Linked DNA regions of Arabidopsis thaliana. The protein of the gene in region 1 interacts with the protein of each later gene in a pairwise test. Each region holds a gene or a part of one and is shown in the gene's direction. Other genes may lie near its edges. The genes, in order: UBC30, RGLG3, MUB4 and ATGP4.

Region 1 (4,771 bases):
TACAGTGACCACTCTCATTGAATGAAGTTCCAGGGCAAGAAGTTGCAGTATTCATGTGCTTATGCTTAAAGGTTGATCTTGCTTCTAATTTTGTTGGTTGATCATTTGCAGAGATCTGTTCCATCATCTCCGGGACCAAATTGGCTTAACTCACCTGGTAGTTCGTCCGGTCTCATCGCCAAGCGTACAATCAGGGTCGATATTCCAGTCGACAATTATCCGAATGTATGAACTTTCATTTCTACACTGAGATATACTACTTCCTGGTTGGAATGTAACTCCTTAATTTTCTATATGGCAGTTCAATTTTGTTGGTCGCCTCCTGGGTCCTAGAGGAAACTCCCTGAAGCGAGTTGAAGCAAGTACTGATTGCCGTGTTCTTATAAGAGGAAGAGGAAGTATAAAAGATCCAATTAAGGTATTTATTATTAAACTTTACAACTTCATTTGTATCTACATTTCAATGTTTGTACAAGGTGTTAATATATTTCTTCTTGTAGGAGGAAATGATGAGAGGAAAACCGGGATACGAGCACCTAAATGAACCACTTCATATCTTAGTGGAAGCAGAATTACCGATTGAAATAGTCGATGCACGGCTCATGCAAGCTCGGGAAATACTTGACGATCTTCTTACTCCTATGGTTTGTTTTTAGCTCTCCCCCTCCCTTTGATTTTAAACCAGTTATTGTTACAAAGTTTTCACACTCGGTTTCTGTTTTATAGGAGGAAACCCATGATATGTACAAGAAACAACAGCTGCGCGAGCTAGCATTGCTCAATGGAACTCTTCGTGAAGAAGGATCTCCAATGTCCGGTTCTGTTTCTCCTTACAATAGCCTTGGTATGAAGAGAGCCAAAACAAGAGAAGGGTAAAAACCATCGAACAGTTTGGCTGTGATCATAAAGCAATATGAAACCGATCCAAAAGTCGACACAAAAAGGCCATACCACTCTTGACGACACGGTACTGTCTCTTGTCCTTGGGGTAGAAATGTTGTATATATGATTTATGAAATGTGTTTGTCAGTCTATGTATCATTGTCCCGGAGAGAGATCAGATGACAAAATTGCAACGGAAACACAAGAGCTGATGAGTCTCTGTCTCTCTCCGAGACTTTGATTTTGTTTTTGTTTATGTTTTTATGTCTGGAAAGTTGGGTTCCAACAGTTTTCTTTTAAGTTTTTTGTTTATTTGTTGTTTTAGCAAAAAGAAAACATTAAATCATGATGATGGTTTGTGTCTGGTATTGGTAATGATAATAATCATAATATGTTTTGGATACATAAACGTCAAAGTAAAGCTTGTTTCAATATGATATGTGGAATTATGTAAAGCAAATGTTCTGTTCTCGAGTATTTTTCACATTTTTATTACTGGAAGTCGACATTTTCTATTACATGTCAACTCTGTTTTCAACATTGAAAGATTACTTGATTAAACTTTAAACAGATCTATATATTTAAGTAAATCGGTTAGTATACCCATATGTCAATCGGTTTAATGGCCTGTGACCCTTATAACCTAGTTTCTTGTGATGCAAGGTAGCTTTCCTTTACTGTTTTACAAAAAAGGCCTATTCAAAAATTGTTATGTACTTTATATAAAAGATAATTTTAAAATCCTATCGAATTTGGTAAGAGTAACATCTTACATATGAAATCTACCATTCACAAATACTACTTTATTAGTAATATGCAAATGCATAACAATTTTTGTAATGTATAGATTTTATTTGCATATAAGAAAGTGTTTTTCTTTTCATATAAGAAAGTTTTTTAAGAACAAAAGGAACATATGTCAAAAAAAATTGTGATAAGTTTTCCACTTTTCCCTTTTCCCCTTAAGGTACCAAATCTTTGCAATCTGAAATAAATATCATTTTCTTTTGATTTCCTGTTTCTTTTTTGAAAATTTCTTGTTTAATCCTTCTTCTATTTTCTTTTTCCAAATTTGCATAACGTTTCTTATTATGGACAAAAGAGTCAATGGGCTCCGTCAGTAAACGATTGGGCCTTATTATAGCCCATAAGTACAGAATCTAGCTCGCTACGTGGCAAAGCTTCACCGCTCGAAAGAGAGGAATCTATATAAACCGTATCGATGCTAACAAGTTTCATCTTCAAAACAACCCCTTGAGATTTCCGAAGATCATCAAATCCAAAACCCTAGAAACCGAACAAAAGGTAGGTCAAAATTAGCTCCGATAAATCTCGATTTCGATTTGAATCATCGTTACTCTTAGGGTTTATTCGTTTCCCAGTTCTTGATCTTCGTCGTTTGATTCTCTCGCGGTTTTGTTTCCTTGCGTCGATCCATGTGTTTTTTCTGTTATCTTGGTTCTAGAATATTCTCGTACCTACTTCTGATGATTTACCTTTAACTGATGCGTAATTGCTTGATCTGTTTCTGAATTGTTCGTTGATTTTCTCTCTGTTTGATCGAATTCTGATCGGATTGTCTCTTGGGCTTGAGTGTTTGATTTCGAGATTTTTCTGGTTGATTTCTTCAGGAGGTGTATCTTAGGCTAATTATCAAAGCTGATTTGCATAAAGTCTTTCCTTTTAGGATAGCTATGTTCTTGCTCCATATGTTAACTGGTTTTTGCTGTGTACTGCTTTTGCATCTGTACTTGTAGCAGTATAGTAATTTTTTTGATTTGATTTTGTTCCTAGCTAGCAGAAGCTAGGACTATTCAATGGCGTCGAAAAGAATTAACAAAGAGCTTAGGGACTTGCAAAGAGATCCTCCTGTGTCCTGCAGTGCAGGTGAGTGTTTTAATCTATGATATCTACTGTGAAATTTAAAGAACCACTTTGATAGATTCAGTAGATGATGTAGCATTAACCTCAGAATCAGTTTTAGGAGAATGTTTTTTTTTTTGTCCTTAAGATACATTATGAGCTATTTAGATTTTAATGAATTGGTGATGTTATTAGGTCCTACGGGAGATGATATGTTCCAATGGCAAGCAACTATCATGGGTCCAGCAGATAGCCCGTTTGCCGGAGGTGTGTTTCTTGTTACCATTCACTTCCCACCAGATTACCCTTTCAAGCCACCAAAGGTAACAGAAGTTTTTTGTTTTTTGTTATGTTTATTTGTGTAGCTTAATGAATTTGTTCATCCACACCATTATGATTTAGAGAGAGTGTTCAATCAAGTAGGCTTTTTGTGGCAATAAACCTTCATTGTTTATGATGCAGGTTGCCTTCCGGACCAAGGTTTATCACCCAAACATCAACAGTAATGGAAGTATCTGTCTTGACATTCTGAAAGAGCAGTGGAGCCCTGCACTTACCGTATCCAAGGTGATCAAATTGTTTCACTTCCTTACTTTTTAGTATAGCATTAGTCTATTTTCCACCACACCTTCTTGTGACCATGTCTTAGTTAAATGGTCATGTCTTAGTTCGTTCTCTGATGTGATTATCTTCTTTGACCAACCTCTCTTTACATTGGTTTTATGAACAAACAACATCGCAATCCCTTGGATATAGTCAAGGCCATTATCATAAAAGATTGAGCTCTGTTATTTGTACCCTTGTCTAAATGCTGTGATATGGATTAGTCAAGTAAATTCTAGTTATCTCTTTTAATAGGAGTGTTACATTATGTTATAATGTTTAAAGGCCTTCATTATCGCTGTTGATGACATGTTATCTAGATTTAATTTGTTTAATGACTCTCATTAGCGAGACAATGATAATCTTTTATTTGCATATAAGCTGAAGAACTAAAGTTGGTGGTGCAATTTCCGCAGGTTCTTCTGTCGATATGCTCATTGCTGACGGATCCAAACCCTGACGATCCTTTGGTTCCTGAAATAGCGCACATCTACAAGACAGACCGAGTCAAGTACGAGTCCACAGCTCAATCCTGGACTCAGAAGTATGCAATGGGATGATAACAAGCAATAATACCCACCACCAGTACATTGCGTATTAAACAGGAGAAATAAGAAAGAAAGAAAAAAACTCAGTTTGGCTTTTACTTTGGCTACTTTTGCTTATTAGTTTTTTTTTTTTAATTATATCTTGAAGCTGTGTGTTGGGTGTGTACATGAGCTTTATGCCTTATTTGAAACATTGAGATCTTGCAAATGCTTTTAAGCCAATAATCCGCTATCATGATGAGTCCCTTGCTAGTAGTGTAGAAGAATATCACATAAGTTTGCAGATAATAAAACATTTGCGCATAATAGTGATTGTGAAATTAGATTGGAGTTGGACCAACACATTTTGGTGATCGTGACAAGTTTATACGGTGTTAGATTCCTATTGGCAAACTACTATAAAAGTCTTGAGAATAGAATAACAACTGAATATGACTATTGACTTGATCCATTTGTACGGTTTTCTCTTTCTTTTTTATTTGAAAATTTCAAATTGGGTTTGGAACAAGTTATATTTAACTGGTTTACGAATTTAGCTACTTATTCGGTCTTTTTCATAGCTGACAAAGATACATAATGTATATAGCTGTTAAATAAAAAAATGAATTCCGTGTGACTTCACCATTAGAACGCGTTTTTGGTTGGGTGAGGTCTGATGTGCATCAGAAACAAGTGATTATTTGGGGGGAAATAAATAAATTCGAAGAAGAAGTGTTTATAAATTTAAATCAAAATGTTGAATTCGGTTAAGTTTGGTCGACCATACGAAGCTTCAAATATTGATGACATTTAAGAAAGAAACGCATGAGGTAACAGTGTAACTCAACAGTTAATGCGAAATACACGAATACACGCGATGCAAAAACCGCAGAAGA
Region 2 (4,819 bases), 2.9 Mb from region 1:
GATGCTAACGGCAAGTTTGGACAAGCAAGCACACCTAAAACTACTTTCCCTTCCTCGAGCAATCCTAGTGCTACTGCGTATTGATCTCCCCTCAGAAATCTAAAATCATGAAAATGCTCAGTGTCAGGAACATAACATCTGACTCAACATTCTATCAAATTTACATTTTCTCTGAAATAAGAAGATTTGACTTTAGGCTAGTTAGTTTTAAAACGTACCCTTTAGTGCCATCAATTGGATCCAAGACCCAGTGTCGACCATTTGGACCACCTTCAGATGTTCCACAGTCAATGGCTCTAAGTAGATCATCAGTAGACAAAGTAGAGCCATTAAACGATTCCTCGGTAGCCAAAGTGTCGTTCACGAGTTTTGTGATGCGCTCCAGAGTATCCTGAGAACCATCCTTGCGTAGATCGCCTGAGTCCTATATAGATCATTTTAGACAATGTGAGTCCATAAACACAAACTCAAAGATAAGTAAAGTGTGAGACATCTAACAAGGATTTATTAAGCAGTTTCACCTCTTCAGCCACCAATGAAAAGGGTTCAGAACTGAGCTCTTTTTCTAAGACTAAACTAACAACTGCTTGTGAACCTGAAATTCAACACAAGACAGATCAAATTAAGTGATTTCCTAACAATCTCAGTAACATTCAAAGAGAAGAGCTTTTTCTAATCAGGGACAGGTATAACAAACTAACCATAATCAGCAACGGTCACTGGACTTTTATCAGATTTTGATTGCACATCTGATTGCAACAAAGCCTTTTGAACTTTCTGAAACAAACCCAAAACACAAAGATAAGATTTTGATCAAAGATTTACACGAGCTTCGTATGTAGAGGACCATTACACTATATCACTAGAATCTATTCCCAATTACAGATGCAATGCACAATAAACACAAAATGTTAAACGAAATTTGGAAGATTTACAAAATGGGTTTCTTAAAGAATCAAACTTTAGAATCTATGGGTCATGATTGAATCGAAAAAACCCTAACCTGACAGAGACGAGCAGCGAGTGAAGCAGCTTTCTTAGCAGCATCAAGCTCTTTCTCGTAAGCCATCGATGAAACAACTCTGAGAGTAACAAATGAAGGAGAAGAAGACTTGCGTCCGAATACAGAAACGAGACGGTTCGATGAATTTCTAGGTCTCGAATTCGTTCTTACTGCTACAAATGATTGAAGCGGAGCCTTCGCTGTTCGAAAACAATTTATAGACATCATTCGCTTTTCAAGAAGATAAATATATGTCTTCACATTTTCTGATTGCAGAGACAATTATTATTACTTTTTTGAATTTCCCATTTACACCAGTGTACTTATTTATTCTCTGAACTTAAACCCTAAACTTTATTTTAGATCAAGAAAGGCCATATTTGCTCTGTTGGTTTAGGGGTCCATGTGGCACCAATTGAAAGAACAAGTACAAACGGTGAAAATCATAAAAATAAAAAACTTTAGTGATCTTCGTAGATTGGTTGTTGAGTTTTGGGCTAATCGCACGTGGATGTTGTGGTTGAAACATAAGTGAATTTATAGGTGGTGAAGATACAAAAAGGCTTCTTGATGAATGAAGAAGCCCAATAAAAACGGTTCTGGGTTAATATATTTTGAGGGAATCAAAAGCCCAAATAATTTTCTTCAGACAAGAGCTACAGCTTTGCCACGTTGTCCACATGAATCATGTTGAAATTTGGTCTATGATTTTGGGTTATGGATAAATCATTAATGACGCAGAGACAAGACTAAAAAAGATTTCTAGATTGATGATGGCGTGTGAGAGAGCAAAATACGTTTTGATTATTTGCCGGCGCAAGCAAAGGGTCACGTTCCACTAACTTTCAAGATTCAACAAAACCCACTTTCTATAGTTTTATATGTTCATTTTTTTCTGCTAAAGTATTTTTATATGTTCATATTTCTCTTTTGTGCCATCTTTTTAATAATTTAATCTTCCTACAGAAGATAATCTCCAACAAAAGTTTTTTCTTACAAGAAAGATTCCGAGAAGTCTTTTGTGTTTTCAACAAACTCCAGGTTGATATATACTTGCCACTTGTGTAACTGTATCTTTTATTCTTGATTTTGATTGGTTTCTTCTCCAAAGATTGGATTTCTGAAGGTTCTTGTGCTGCAGGGTTTTTTCAATGAACATGAGCAATAAACGTAATCAGCAACCTTCGTATATTGCTGATCATTTCAGCAGTTTGGATCAGGTCTCATAAACTTACTTAGTTATTTCTTGATTTTAGTCTCTTTCATAGTGATGAATTTCTTGTGAACTTTGCTTTTTAGGTGATAACTTCTCTGAGAGAAGCTGGACTTGAATCTTCAAATCTGATTCTAGGAATTGACTTTACCAAGAGCAATGAGTGGACAGGTAATTATTTGATTTGATAAAAAATGCTACACATGTTTACGAAAAGATTCAATGGTTTTGGTTAATGTTCTGAATTTTCATTGCAGGGAGATATTCATTCAATAGAAAAAGCCTTCATGCCATTGGTAAAAGACAGAATCCATATGAGAAAGCAATATCGATTATTGGTCGTACTTTGTCTCCCTTTGATGAAGATGATCTTATACCTTGTTTCGGTTTTGGCGATGGTTAGTTTCTTATTTCTTGCTTTCAAGATGAATGAATAAGATAAACCAAAGTTCTTAATGGTTTTATGTTTTCTTCTTCCTGCAGTAACAACGCGAGATCAATATGTATTCAGCTTTTATCCCGAGAACAAAAGCTGCGACGGATTGGAAAACGCAGTTAAAAGATATAGAGAGATTGTCCCACATTTGAAGTTGTCCGGTATTTTTGAACTTTCAAAAATGGAGCAGTTTTGTTCTCTCTTATCGTAAAGATTAATCAGTGTATTCTTCCCTCACAGGTCCTACCTCGTTTGCACCGGTTATTGATGCTGCCATCAACATAGTTGAGCAGAACAATATGCAATACCATGTTCTCGTCATTATCGCAGATGGTCAGGTCACAAGAAATCCAGATGTGCCGCTTGGTCGACTTAGTCCACAGGAAGAAGCTACTATGAACTCGATAATGGCAGCGAGGTAAAACTATTCAATAAGCTCATATTCATGATCAGACTTCATATGTATACTAATGATGTTTGATATAAATTTTCCAGCCATTACCCATTGTCGATAGTCTTGGTTGGAGTAGGAGATGGACCATGGGACACAATGAAACAATTCGATGACAATATTCCTCACCGTGAATTCGATAACTTCCAGGTAATATAATAAAACCCTGAATAGCTCTGTTTTGTTCCTGAAACATGAATCATGAAAAACTGTGTTTTGTTCCACAGTTTGTAAACTTCACGAAGATAATGTCAGAGCACAAAGATGCGGCTAAGAAGGAGGCTGCTTTCGCACTCGCAGCTCTCATGGAGATCCCTTTTCAATACAAGGCTACATTAAGTCTCAAGTAAATGCAATAAAAAATTTACCGTTGGAAACTACTTGTATCACTCACTGTTTATGGTCTTATTGCATTAGATTCTTTGCCAACTAAACCAACCTTTGATTGTGCTTATGAACAGTAGAAAACCAGTGCGCAGTTCCCATCAGCACCACAAGCCACTCCCGCCACCACCAGAGGTTATAGAGCGTGACAATGCTGTTAGATCGGTGCCAAATCAGATGACAGAAACTGCAGAGAAAAGTGACAGACTCGCTCCTTCCACAGTGCCGGTAAATACTCTATTATTTCTGCCTTTGTTTCTGTTCTTTTGTCAATGAGTATACTCAGTTTCTCTGATACTGAGATTTACATTCCTTTTGTTTTTCAAAAAGGTATGCCCGATTTGCTTGACGAATCCAAAGGACATGGCTTTTAGCTGCGGTCACACGGTATGTGAAAATTTCAAAGGAACAATTATACTCTTACTTGTTCTATGAACTGTACTGCTTCTAGATCGATTTTGTGACATCTCCGATACTTTTTATTTCAAATAAAGACATGCAAGGAATGCGGAGTTGTTATCACAACATGCCCACTATGCAGACAACCAATAACAACAAGGATAAGGCTGTACACTTGACTCGGAAAAATTCTTAGAGATGAGACAAATTATATGGTTAAGCACTTGAGCTTCATGTTTATACTTCTGTAGAACATTGTACAGTCCAAGCAGAAGAATTGTAAAGCATAAATCTCGAGTTGTAGTTCATATGTAATTCTTAGCCTGCCGAAACAAGGAGATATGCGAGAAGAGTTCTCTTTTTGTATTAATCAACAGCTACGTACAAATAAGCCGAAGAGGTCCTTTTTATAACATTCCAAAGAGACCTACAAGTTCTAAATCAAGCGGAAAGTGTAACAGCAACGATACCAATGGAAAAAAGAGAGAGCTAAAAACAACCTTAAATACTTATTAGAAGCTCCAACGGTCGAGTTGTTGCCTGGCTACAGCCATGTCTTTTTGTGCTTTCATTCTCCGGTAAAATATTGGACAATCTCGACTGTAAAAGACCAATAAGAAATCCAGAAAGGAAATTGGATCAGAACCTATTTACCTGCTGAAAGATTTCTAAAAGAAATTGATATCGATAAAAATATAAGCAAACCTGGTGCACAAGACATCTTGATGAAGAGAGCCTTGACACTCCTGGCACTGTGTCCACAGCCTCCCAAAAACCTCTTCAAGCTCAGCCACTGAATAACACAACGAAAGTATCAAATTTTATAGATATATCAAAGAGTCTATAGGAAAGGGAAAAACGGCAGCATACCTTGAGACACGTTTTTGCAATATAACTCGGCTTCTCTTCCCTTGCAACTTGCGCATAGTGTTC
Region 3 (4,516 bases), on another chromosome or scaffold:
TTACTTCTTGAGCATTGCTTTAAATAGGACACGCCCCTGGGCCAGCGGTGGTGAAGGAGTTGCAGGGACAACATGTCATATTGAGAGACTGCATCGAACAGCTAGGGGCAATGGAGACATCCAGAACAAGTCTTATCTCACATTTGAGAGAAGCTTTACAAGAACAGGTTTACATTTATACATTTTCTTTCAAAACAACATCTTTCATTGCACCGGCCAGAAACCTCACCTTGTTTTTGTTTTTGTGTCCAGGAACTCAAGCTGGAGCAAGTCCGTAACCACCTTCAGGTTTGAATACTTACCAACAAATGTGATATTTGTTCCTCAGACATTTTATACATTTCAATTTACACAATACATCATAACGTTCTCAATAGTACTTTCCGAGACATGCTGGTCTAGCTTCAAGCTTGTTTAGTGAATTTGTTCAAGGAAGATAGACCCAAATCTAATTAGGGTTCTTGGTTGCCTTTCCAAACAGAATGTTGCCTTGTCTTTATGCTATTTAGTTGAATTGATTTCATTTGTGCTACGATTTCAGATTGCTCGGTTTCAATCAGACCGAACTGGTGATCTCTGCAGACAGCTTCTAGACCATGGTGGTAGTTCACAGCCTCCTGCTACAGAAGAAGAAGAGTCAAAAGAAGTTATCAAAGTTTCATCCACTGCAGCAGCACCACAAAGCTTCACACACAGCGATGTGGAACAATCTGCACCAGTTATGTTTGCCTCAAACCCAACTCAATCGCTGGAAGACCCAAGAAAAACTGCTGCTGCTGCAGTGGTAGCTAAGCTAACTGCTTCAACTTCCTCAGCCGAGATGCTCTCCTATGTTCTCTCCTCCTTAGCCTCCGAAGGCATCATCGGAAACAACAACCCACCTGCTGTAACAGAAACTCTATCATCCGTCGATTTCCCACCAGAGAAAAGACCTAAGCTTCAAAATCATGACCAGTCGTATCTCTCACCGCACCATCAGAACACTGCAACAACATCATCCTCCACACCCCCACAACCGCTTCCACCACCACCACCATTCCAGCTTCAACCTCAGTTTTTGCAGCCGTTACAGCCTCCCGGGCCAGTAAACCACACACCATTCAACTACACCATAGCAACCTCTACTGCAACCACTCAGCAACAACAACAAGAACAAGGTCCTTGGGTACCTGGGCTCACTCAACTTTCAACAACCTCTGCTCCATCGGAGAATTCATACCAGAAGTTTCAGGGACAAGATGGTTTCTATGGCATTAACTCATCTGTGCCTATTACACCTGTCACTCGCCAGTAGTGTAAATCTGTTCGTAGGGGTTCATATAGCAAAAAGTTCACTTTTTTTTTTGGTTTTTTTTTGTTAAATATAGTTTCAATGGGCTTTTGATAATTAGGATTTTATGTTCTTAAAATGTGCTTTGTATGCTTTCTAATTGTGCGTCTAATCCAAGGTTTCAACTCTGTAAACATATCATAAAAATCCTTTGTTTTGCTCTGAGATTTTACTATTGTTGGAAGATTCTATAGATTTTCAAATTTTCTTGTTCCTCTCTTTGAAATTTACATGGAAGTCAGATTTGGACCAAAGTGATTTGTTGCTCGTCTTTTAAAGTCTTCTGGTCAAAACGCCGACAAGGCTTTGCTTTTGACTAATAAAGAAACATACTTTTCCACAATTTTCTTGTCTTTTTATCTTATTTCCTTACTCGTCAGGGATTCCCTGTAACGCGGCAATCCTGACGAAAGACATATCAGAAACTTTGATAGAATCACATAGCAGCAATCTCTTAGCTGGATTTTACCAGCTTCACTTTGAGATTAGGTCATTTACCCTTTTAAGGGTTTCTCTCCTACTTTCTTGATTCTCTTCATTCCCAAGACTCAAAACCTAGCAAACTTGGACATTTGGATTGAGTGTCTCTAGTCCGGGTAAGATTTGTGTGTTGTGGTAACTTTATCTGACGGTTTAGGAGCTTAGGTTGCTTAGATGAGTTCCAAGTTTTTATTTTTCTTTTGCTTATTGTTCTTCTTGTTCCTTTGGTCCAAGTTCTTGATTTGGACAGTAACTGAAAATTTCCTAATTGATTCCTTTAAGTTTGACTGTGCTCTTATTACTAGTCTTCTCTAAATATTTTTGTTCTTTGCTTCGACAATTTCATTGATGCTTTGAATTTGAGAATCTCTCTGTCCTCTTATTATTATAGGTCTCATTTGGGTGGATTCTTTCTGGTGAAATCTTTCTTGTGAGAGTTTTGTATTGGGAGAAAGAGATAATCAAATGCCGGAGGAAGATTTGGTAGAACTGAAATTCCGGTTATATGACGGTTCAGATGTTGGCCCGTTTCAGTACTCTCCAACCGCCACAGTGTCAATGCTTAAGGAGAGAATTGTCTCTGAATGGCCTAAAGGTTAGCACCGAGCACAATCTTTTGGTTTGTTTTTCGGCTAATCCGTGAAAAAGAAGTAAAAATGCGATAGAAGTGCTCTTTAATGCTTTAGATTTGGCTTTAGAACGTTTGCTTCAGCCATTTTTTTTTTTCTTCAGTTTCTTCACTTGTGGCTTGATAGACAAAGTTCAGACATAAGTCATAGGATCTGATTGACTTACTAATCATTTGTCTTAAAGTAGGAACAGAAGAAGGAAGTTAAACTATTGATCTTTTAAAAGGTTACTCGATCTTGTGATCTATGTTTTAACAGTTTCTCCACTTGTGGTATAGGCTTTTGAATTGGTCTGATTGTATTACTAATCACTTGTCTTATACTACAAATCATGTCTTTAGAGACTATAGGGACGAATACTGTTCTGGTTCTTTTTAGTAGAATTTCTTGATCTTACTCTTCAGTCTTGTGCATTCAACAAAAAATTGAATTTGTCTCATTTTGTTTCCTATTGTATCTTATTGACTAATCGAATTTGGGGGTTTTGAATGTGTGTAGACAAGAAGATTGTTCCAAAATCAGCTAGTGACATCAAGTTGATAAATGCTGGTAAGATTTTGGAGAATGGTAAAACTGTTGCACAGTGTAAAGCTCCATTTGATGATCTCCCTAAATCCGTCATTACAATGCATGTTGTCGTGCAACTGTCTCCAACAAAAGCAAGACCAGGTCTTGTTCTTTCTTATCTCCGTAAATCTTGTTTGTGGAATGAATTCTTTAGCCTAATATCTTGTTTTTTCTTTCTCTTACAGAGAAAAAAATCGAAAAGGAAGAAGCCCCACAGAGAAGCTTTTGCTCATGTACCATAATGTGAGAACAACAACAAGTCCCAAGTCAAAAAATCTGAAAGAGTTAAGTTTTGATTCTCTGTGGTATTTGCTAAAAGACCATATAAACATAAACTACCGCTTCATATTCGACATTTTCTTCACAAGTTCAAAGAAACCTTCATCTATGGCGTTATAAAGCTAGTCTATTAGAGTTGTTTCTCTTGAGCTGTGATGGAAAAACTCTTGTTTGGAGCATCCTTTATAAAGATAAGAGTTTTGTTACCGCGAACTAATTCAAGTATCTCTGTAACATATCTTGTATGGTTTTGTCAATCTTTAGTACATTTTAGACCTGGTTTTTTTCTCTATCAGGATCCGCCCAAAACTGTATCCAAACATCTTTATCCAGTCCATTACCTACAGTGAAAACGAGTACTAAACGTTTGCAGTTTGGTTCTTGAGTGGCAAACACTTTGATATGTTACTATATGGTCCATACCTTTCTCATCATTTTCCACTTCCACAAAGCCAATGTTTTGGGGATGTAGGTAGATACAAACCTCCAAAAGAAACAGAGAGCATGAGATCTCAATAAATGTCCTTTCACCTAACTTATCACTGTCTCCCACTTAATTCTCTCATTTATAACCTTCACTTTCACTTAGTGTCTCTCCACTATCTTGTCTTGTTTCGCCTTTAATTCTATTCCTCTCCTCTGGCTCTCATTTATAATCTTCACTCCAAATGCACCTTTCTTTGTACTCCCATCACTTTCTCTTCGATATGGTATTTACTTTAATCCGATTCGAATATTGTAACTATGAAAAACAAAATGAATAGTAAAAATATCCGTTTCGTATCCAAGCCTATTTTTAAAAGACACGTTTGTATAACTCTCTCTATATATAGAAAGGAACCACGAAGCTCTTTCAAGAGAGTTCTATTCTTGTCTGAAAACTAGTTCCCTATATTTCTTCTTTCTTCACACACATATTCTCCAATTCTTACATAAATATCAAATAAACCAAACTTGAAACTTGTTGTGCTTAAGATGACGAAGAAATCACTGACAATGTTTCTTTTTATACTTCTGCAATTTCTGCTCGTAAACTCTCTATCTTCAAAGCATTCATCACCCAAACCAAAACCAGATGCAGAAATCACTATAATGGGTTTTGTTTACTGCGATGTTTGCTCCAAAAACAGTTTCTCTAAACACAGTTACTTCATGTCCGGTAGTAACTCAGAACAAAAAGATCTCTTTAATTAATTCCCTGCAAAAACTCTGTTTCTTAACGTTTCTTTAC
Region 4 (4,512 bases), on another chromosome or scaffold:
AAAGAAGGAGGATTCTACAATTCTCTCCACAACTCCATTGACGACATAGCCAACGCTGGAATCACTCATCTTTGGCTTCCTCCTCCTTCTCAATCCGTTGCTCCTGAAGGTTCCATTTCTGCTTTACTCTTTACACATTCACATACCAATCTTGTTACTCACGCAATCTTCATTCCTCAGGTTACTTACCGGGAAAGCTATACGATCTAAACAGCTCCAAATACGGTTCAGAGGCGGAACTGAAATCGTTAATCAAAGCGTTGAATCAAAAAGGAATAAAAGCTTTGGCTGATATAGTGATTAACCACAGAACAGCTGAGAGGAAAGACGATAAATGTGGATACTGTTATTTCGAAGGTGGGACTTCCGATGATCGTCTTGATTGGGATCCTTCCTTTGTCTGCCGCAATGACCCTAAATTTCCCGGTACCGGAAACCTCGACACCGGAGGAGATTTTGATGGAGCGCCCGACATCGACCACCTTAACCCTAGAGTTCAGAAAGAGTTGTCCGAATGGATGAATTGGCTTAAAACTGAAATCGGATTCCATGGTTGGAGATTTGATTATGTTCGAGGTTATGCATCTTCCATCACCAAATTATACGTTCAGGTAAATCACATATGAATTCTCAAATATCAGACAACAGTATTAGTATATAAGAAACATAGGTTGAGATAATTATTTACTATTAGTATATATAAGTATCATAGGTTGATAGGGTTATTTACTACTATTTAGTATATAAGAAACATAAGTCAATGCAATCAATAAGAAATATATAAGAAAGTTCACTACTGATTATGTGATAAATTCCTCTGTTTTTGGATACACAGAATACATCACCGGATTTTGCGGTGGGTGAGAAATGGGACGATATGAAGTACGGAGGAGACGGGAAACTAGACTATGATCAGAACGAGCATCGGTCGGGTCTCAAACAGTGGATCGAGGAAGCGGGTGGTGGTGTGTTGACAGCTTTTGATTTCACCACCAAAGGGATCTTACAGTCTGCTGTCAAAGGTGAGCTTTGGAGACTAAAGGACTCGCAGGGAAAACCGCCTGGTATGATAGGAATCATGCCCGGAAACGCTGTCACATTCATAGATAACCATGATACATTCAGAACGTGGGTTTTCCCTTCTGATAAAGTCTTGCTTGGATACGTTTATATACTTACTCATCCAGGAACTCCTTGCATTGTAAGTATCATTTTAGTATGTAGCTATACTATTTACAACTACAATCTTGTTGATATGTTATTTTTGTTGCAGTTTTATAATCATTACATAGAATGGGGACTAAAAGAGAGCATCTCAAAGCTGGTGGCTATCAGGAACAAAAATGGGATTGGTAGCACAAGCTCTGTAACGATAAAAGCGGCAGAGGCGGATCTCTACTTGGCTATGATTGATGATAAAGTTATCATGAAGATTGGACCAAAGCAAGATGTGGGAACACTTGTTCCTTCTAATTTTGCTTTAGCTTATTCAGGCCTTGACTTTGCTGTCTGGGAGAAGAAGTAACGCATAACTCGAATCATAAGAAAAGTAATCGAATGTATCTTCTTCCTTTTTAATAAAACATTTTGGCAGTATCTAAAGATATGTATAATGAAATATAAAATGATAAAGAATACCTAAATAAAAAGAGCACTAGTGGTGTTAAAGGATACAACTCCAGTGAAAGAAAAGAGTTCAAGTGAAGAAGTGTCAACTTGTAGAAATAAGTATTGGAAAGTTTCCATCGTTTTGTTTTGTTGCATACAACTAATATATTATATATTGGCCGACTCGTATAAGATTTGGAGCCCTACTAAAATCAGAATTATGATGTCTTAACCACACAATACTGCCAAAATCAGAACGAATTATATTATTGTAGAAGAAGAAAAAAAAAGTATGGTGGGAAGTGGGAACAGTTAGACAGGTAAATTCGAATAAAACGACAGCGTTTTTGGCTAGGACAATAAAAGTTGAAGACGTCGGCTTGAGAAGAAGTAGAAGTGACGACGAAAAGAAAGGGGAAAAAAAAAAGGAAGGAAAAAAGTGAAAACCGTCGGCTTGAGAAGGAACTTTGATATTTGGTGACTCTTGAAAAAAGCAAGCTCTTTCTTCTTCCTTCTTTCGCTTTTTTCACACCTCAAAATCAAAGATCCGAAACACGATTTCGGAGGAAGCTTCGATTCTGTGTGTTTGATTCTTCCTCTTTTTTGTTTTTTGTTTTTTTGTTCTATCCCGTTTCGAAGCGAGCTCTGATTCTCGTTCCTGTCTACTTTTTTTCAGACCTATTTTCAGATCTGAAATAGTTGTGTTTGAGAAGCGGGATTGGTGATCGGAGCTGGAATTTGGTTGGTAATCGGAGGTCAGAGAGAAGTCAACGGATATGCCGGAGGAAGAATCGATAGATATCAAATTCAGGTTGTACGATGGCTCCGATATCGGGCCTTTTCGGTATTCTGCGGCTTCTACTGTTGACTTTTTGAAGCAGAGGGTCGTCTCTGATTGGCCCAAAGGTTAGTTTTAAGGTTTTTTGAATCGGTGCCCCTTTTTCCCCAATCTGATCCTGGTTTTATTCATGATCTTCCCACGAATTTCGTGTTGATTGTCACTGAATCCTGCAATTGTCGGTAGAAATTCGAAATTTAGAGCTGTAGATGAATTATTATTAGCTCATTTGAGATGTTATAAGCTTGATGTATGAGAAAAGCCAAGTCTCTGTGATTTGAGGTTGATCCAAGCATCAATTTTTTTGTGGTTTTGGTTAGGCAAAACAGTTGTTCCAAAGGGGATAAACGAAGTGAAGCTGATAAGCTCGGGTAAGATCTTGGAGAACAACAAGACTGTTGGGCAGTGTAAGACACCATTTGGAGATATTGCTGGTGGAGTCATTGTGATGCATGTTGTTGTACAGCCTTCTCTAGCTAAATCCAAAACAGGTAGTTGTTTGTCTATGTGTAATGTTCTTCATGTCTTTTATATCAGAGAATTCCCGTTTCATGGAGATATATGTGTCCTTAGAGGTTCCTCAATCTTTCATTAGTCTTGTGGTATTTATCTTGTCAACTGTATGGATTATGGTATTCATTTATCTGGCTCAACTTTACGTCTTATAATATCTAGCTCTAGTCATACTTATATTAATTGAGGCTGGTAAGATTTCGTAAGAGTGTTCATGCACATCAGAAAGTTAGTCGGTGACTAAGATCAGTACATTCTTTTTCTTTCTAACAGCCTATGGTACTGACTCAATCAACCTATCAGGTGATTAGTGGTTTTGTCTAAATTTGGTTTGTTTGTCTTGAGAGAGAGTAAAGGATACCCTAGAATTCATTCCTAGGTTTCTGGTGTGTTCTTTGTGTGAAATAAAGCAAAAATCAGCTCTAAGCTTAGCAAAGCATGCCATGAGGAAAGGAATACCTGAATTCATTATTGGTCGTCATCTCCTTGTAAACCCCACTGAAAACTTTTGCCAGTCTTTGAGATTTGTCTGCATAATTTGTTTTTTCACAAACTTGAGAAAGTCGTGGAAAGTGAGTTTGTGATTACTAAGACGTTTGTTGATGAAAGCTAACTAACAGTTGAATACTGGTTTTTGATTAAACAGAGAAGAAGGTTGATAAAGCACCAAAGGCAGTAATCTGCACATGCACCATTTTGTGAAGGGAGGAAGACCAATGTATCTATCATACACATCGTTTCAATTCTTCCGGTACAGAAGAAAACAAAATCAAAAAAAGAAAGCTAAAAGTAAAGTAAAGCTTCCCTTTAAGCTGTGGAGTTATTTATCATCTTTGAATGTGTAGAAAATGAACTATAAATTCTTTTCAAGTAACTCTTTGTCCCTTATTTGTTTTTTCTTCTTACTTTCCCAATGTATGGAAGCTGTATAGGTTACTAGGTCCATTACGTTACGTGTGATGAAGATAATTATATATCTATCTATTTTTAAAAAAGATTGTGCCTTTGTATTTTTCGTTCTTCCTTTCACACCGTTTTAGTATAGGTGAATTTGCGAAATGGCCAAATTCTGGCTGGCCCGTAAATGTAATTAATGAATTCATGAACTCTGAACATCACTTCGAACAGAAAATTCATCTCTTTTTGTTTTAGGTTGGGAAAAGGTAAGAGGATGGAGTTGCGGTTCCGATCAGACAGACAGGAAGAGTAGTGATGGATGAAGGCGACGTAGTCTCGAACAGAGGCATGATGTAATAACACATGATATATGACACAAGTCATAACCTAGCTACTTATAAATACCAACATAAACTAAAAAAAGTCATAACAATGGTATGTACTTATCTACATTAAAAAAAAAAAGAATTGCAGAAAGATGGCAATATGAAACTAAATTGAATCAAACACATGTACTACAAACAATAGTTAAAAATATCAAAACACAAGTAAAACAACCTAGTTTTAACATTTAAAACGAGGAGAAAAAAAACCAAAAAAGGGAGCCAAGCTTTATGCGTGGCGCTAAAAAGATTGGGCTGTTGATGGATAAATTA

What was found.
Region 2: the proteins of UBC30 (region 1) and RGLG3 interact in a two-hybrid assay, tested with the Arabidopsis thaliana proteins (one study listed by BioGRID).
Region 3: the proteins of UBC30 (region 1) and MUB4 interact in a two-hybrid assay, tested with the Arabidopsis thaliana proteins (one study listed by BioGRID).
Region 4: the proteins of UBC30 (region 1) and ATGP4 interact in a two-hybrid assay, tested with the Arabidopsis thaliana proteins (one study listed by BioGRID).

The regions. Positions count from the first base shown.
Region 1 is NC_003076.8:22,727,057-22,731,827, forward strand, and holds UBC30 (ubiquitin-conjugating enzyme 30), read left to right. Parts: upstream 1-1,958; 5' UTR 1,959-2,187; intron 2,188-2,676; 5' UTR 2,677-2,699; coding exon 2,700-2,769; intron 2,770-2,940; coding exon 2,941-3,068; intron 3,069-3,207; coding exon 3,208-3,312; coding exon of another isoform or gene 3,313-3,345; exon of another isoform or gene 3,346-3,576; intron 3,577-3,764; coding exon 3,765-3,908; 3' UTR 3,909-4,259; downstream 4,260-4,771. Other genes in the region: AT5G56140 (RNA-binding KH domain-containing protein), read left to right, coding at 112-225, 302-418, 501-644, 727-876. UniProt on the Arabidopsis thaliana protein: Accepts the ubiquitin from the E1 complex and catalyzes its covalent attachment to other proteins.
Region 2 is NC_003076.8:25,606,252-25,611,070, reverse strand, and holds RGLG3 (Copine (Calcium-dependent phospholipid-binding protein) family), read left to right. Parts: upstream 1-1,764; 5' UTR 1,765-2,044; intron 2,045-2,083; exon of another isoform or gene 2,084-2,144; 5' UTR 2,145-2,154; coding exon 2,155-2,223; intron 2,224-2,302; coding exon 2,303-2,387; intron 2,388-2,473; coding exon 2,474-2,614; intron 2,615-2,699; coding exon 2,700-2,813; intron 2,814-2,892; coding exon 2,893-3,070; intron 3,071-3,147; coding exon 3,148-3,253; intron 3,254-3,330; coding exon 3,331-3,449; intron 3,450-3,564; coding exon 3,565-3,715; intron 3,716-3,817; coding exon 3,818-3,874; intron 3,875-3,981; coding exon 3,982-4,065; 3' UTR 4,066-4,300; downstream 4,301-4,819. Other genes in the region: SAL1 phosphatase-like protein, read right to left, coding at 1-99, 219-424, 522-595, 702-777, 1,004-1,069; AT5G63960 (DNA polymerase delta subunit 1), read right to left, coding at 4,399-4,486, 4,592-4,679, 4,757-4,819. UniProt on the Arabidopsis thaliana protein: Possesses E3 ubiquitin-protein ligase in vitro.
Region 3 is NC_003074.8:9,945,204-9,949,719, reverse strand, and holds MUB4 (membrane-anchored ubiquitin-fold protein 4 precursor), read left to right. Parts: upstream 1-1,635; 5' UTR 1,636-1,926; intron 1,927-2,201; 5' UTR 2,202-2,275; coding exon 2,276-2,405; intron 2,406-2,937; coding exon 2,938-3,108; intron 3,109-3,191; coding exon 3,192-3,253; 3' UTR 3,254-3,964; downstream 3,965-4,516. Other genes in the region: AT3G26990 (ENTH/VHS family protein), read left to right, coding at 28-167, 253-288, 542-1,294; AT3G26960 (Pollen Ole e 1 allergen and extensin family protein), read left to right, coding at 4,261-4,444. UniProt on the Arabidopsis thaliana protein: May serve as docking site to facilitate the association of other proteins to the plasma membrane.
Region 4 is NC_003075.7:12,849,122-12,853,633, reverse strand, and holds ATGP4 (Ubiquitin family protein), read left to right. Parts: upstream 1-1,823; 5' UTR 1,824-2,188; exon of another isoform or gene 2,189-2,284; 5' UTR 2,285-2,384; coding exon 2,385-2,514; intron 2,515-2,766; coding exon 2,767-2,937; intron 2,938-3,605; coding exon 3,606-3,661; 3' UTR 3,662-3,983; downstream 3,984-4,512. Other genes in the region: AMY1 (alpha-amylase-like protein), read left to right, coding at 1-109, 181-611, 836-1,201, 1,274-1,525. UniProt on the Arabidopsis thaliana protein: May serve as docking site to facilitate the association of other proteins to the plasma membrane.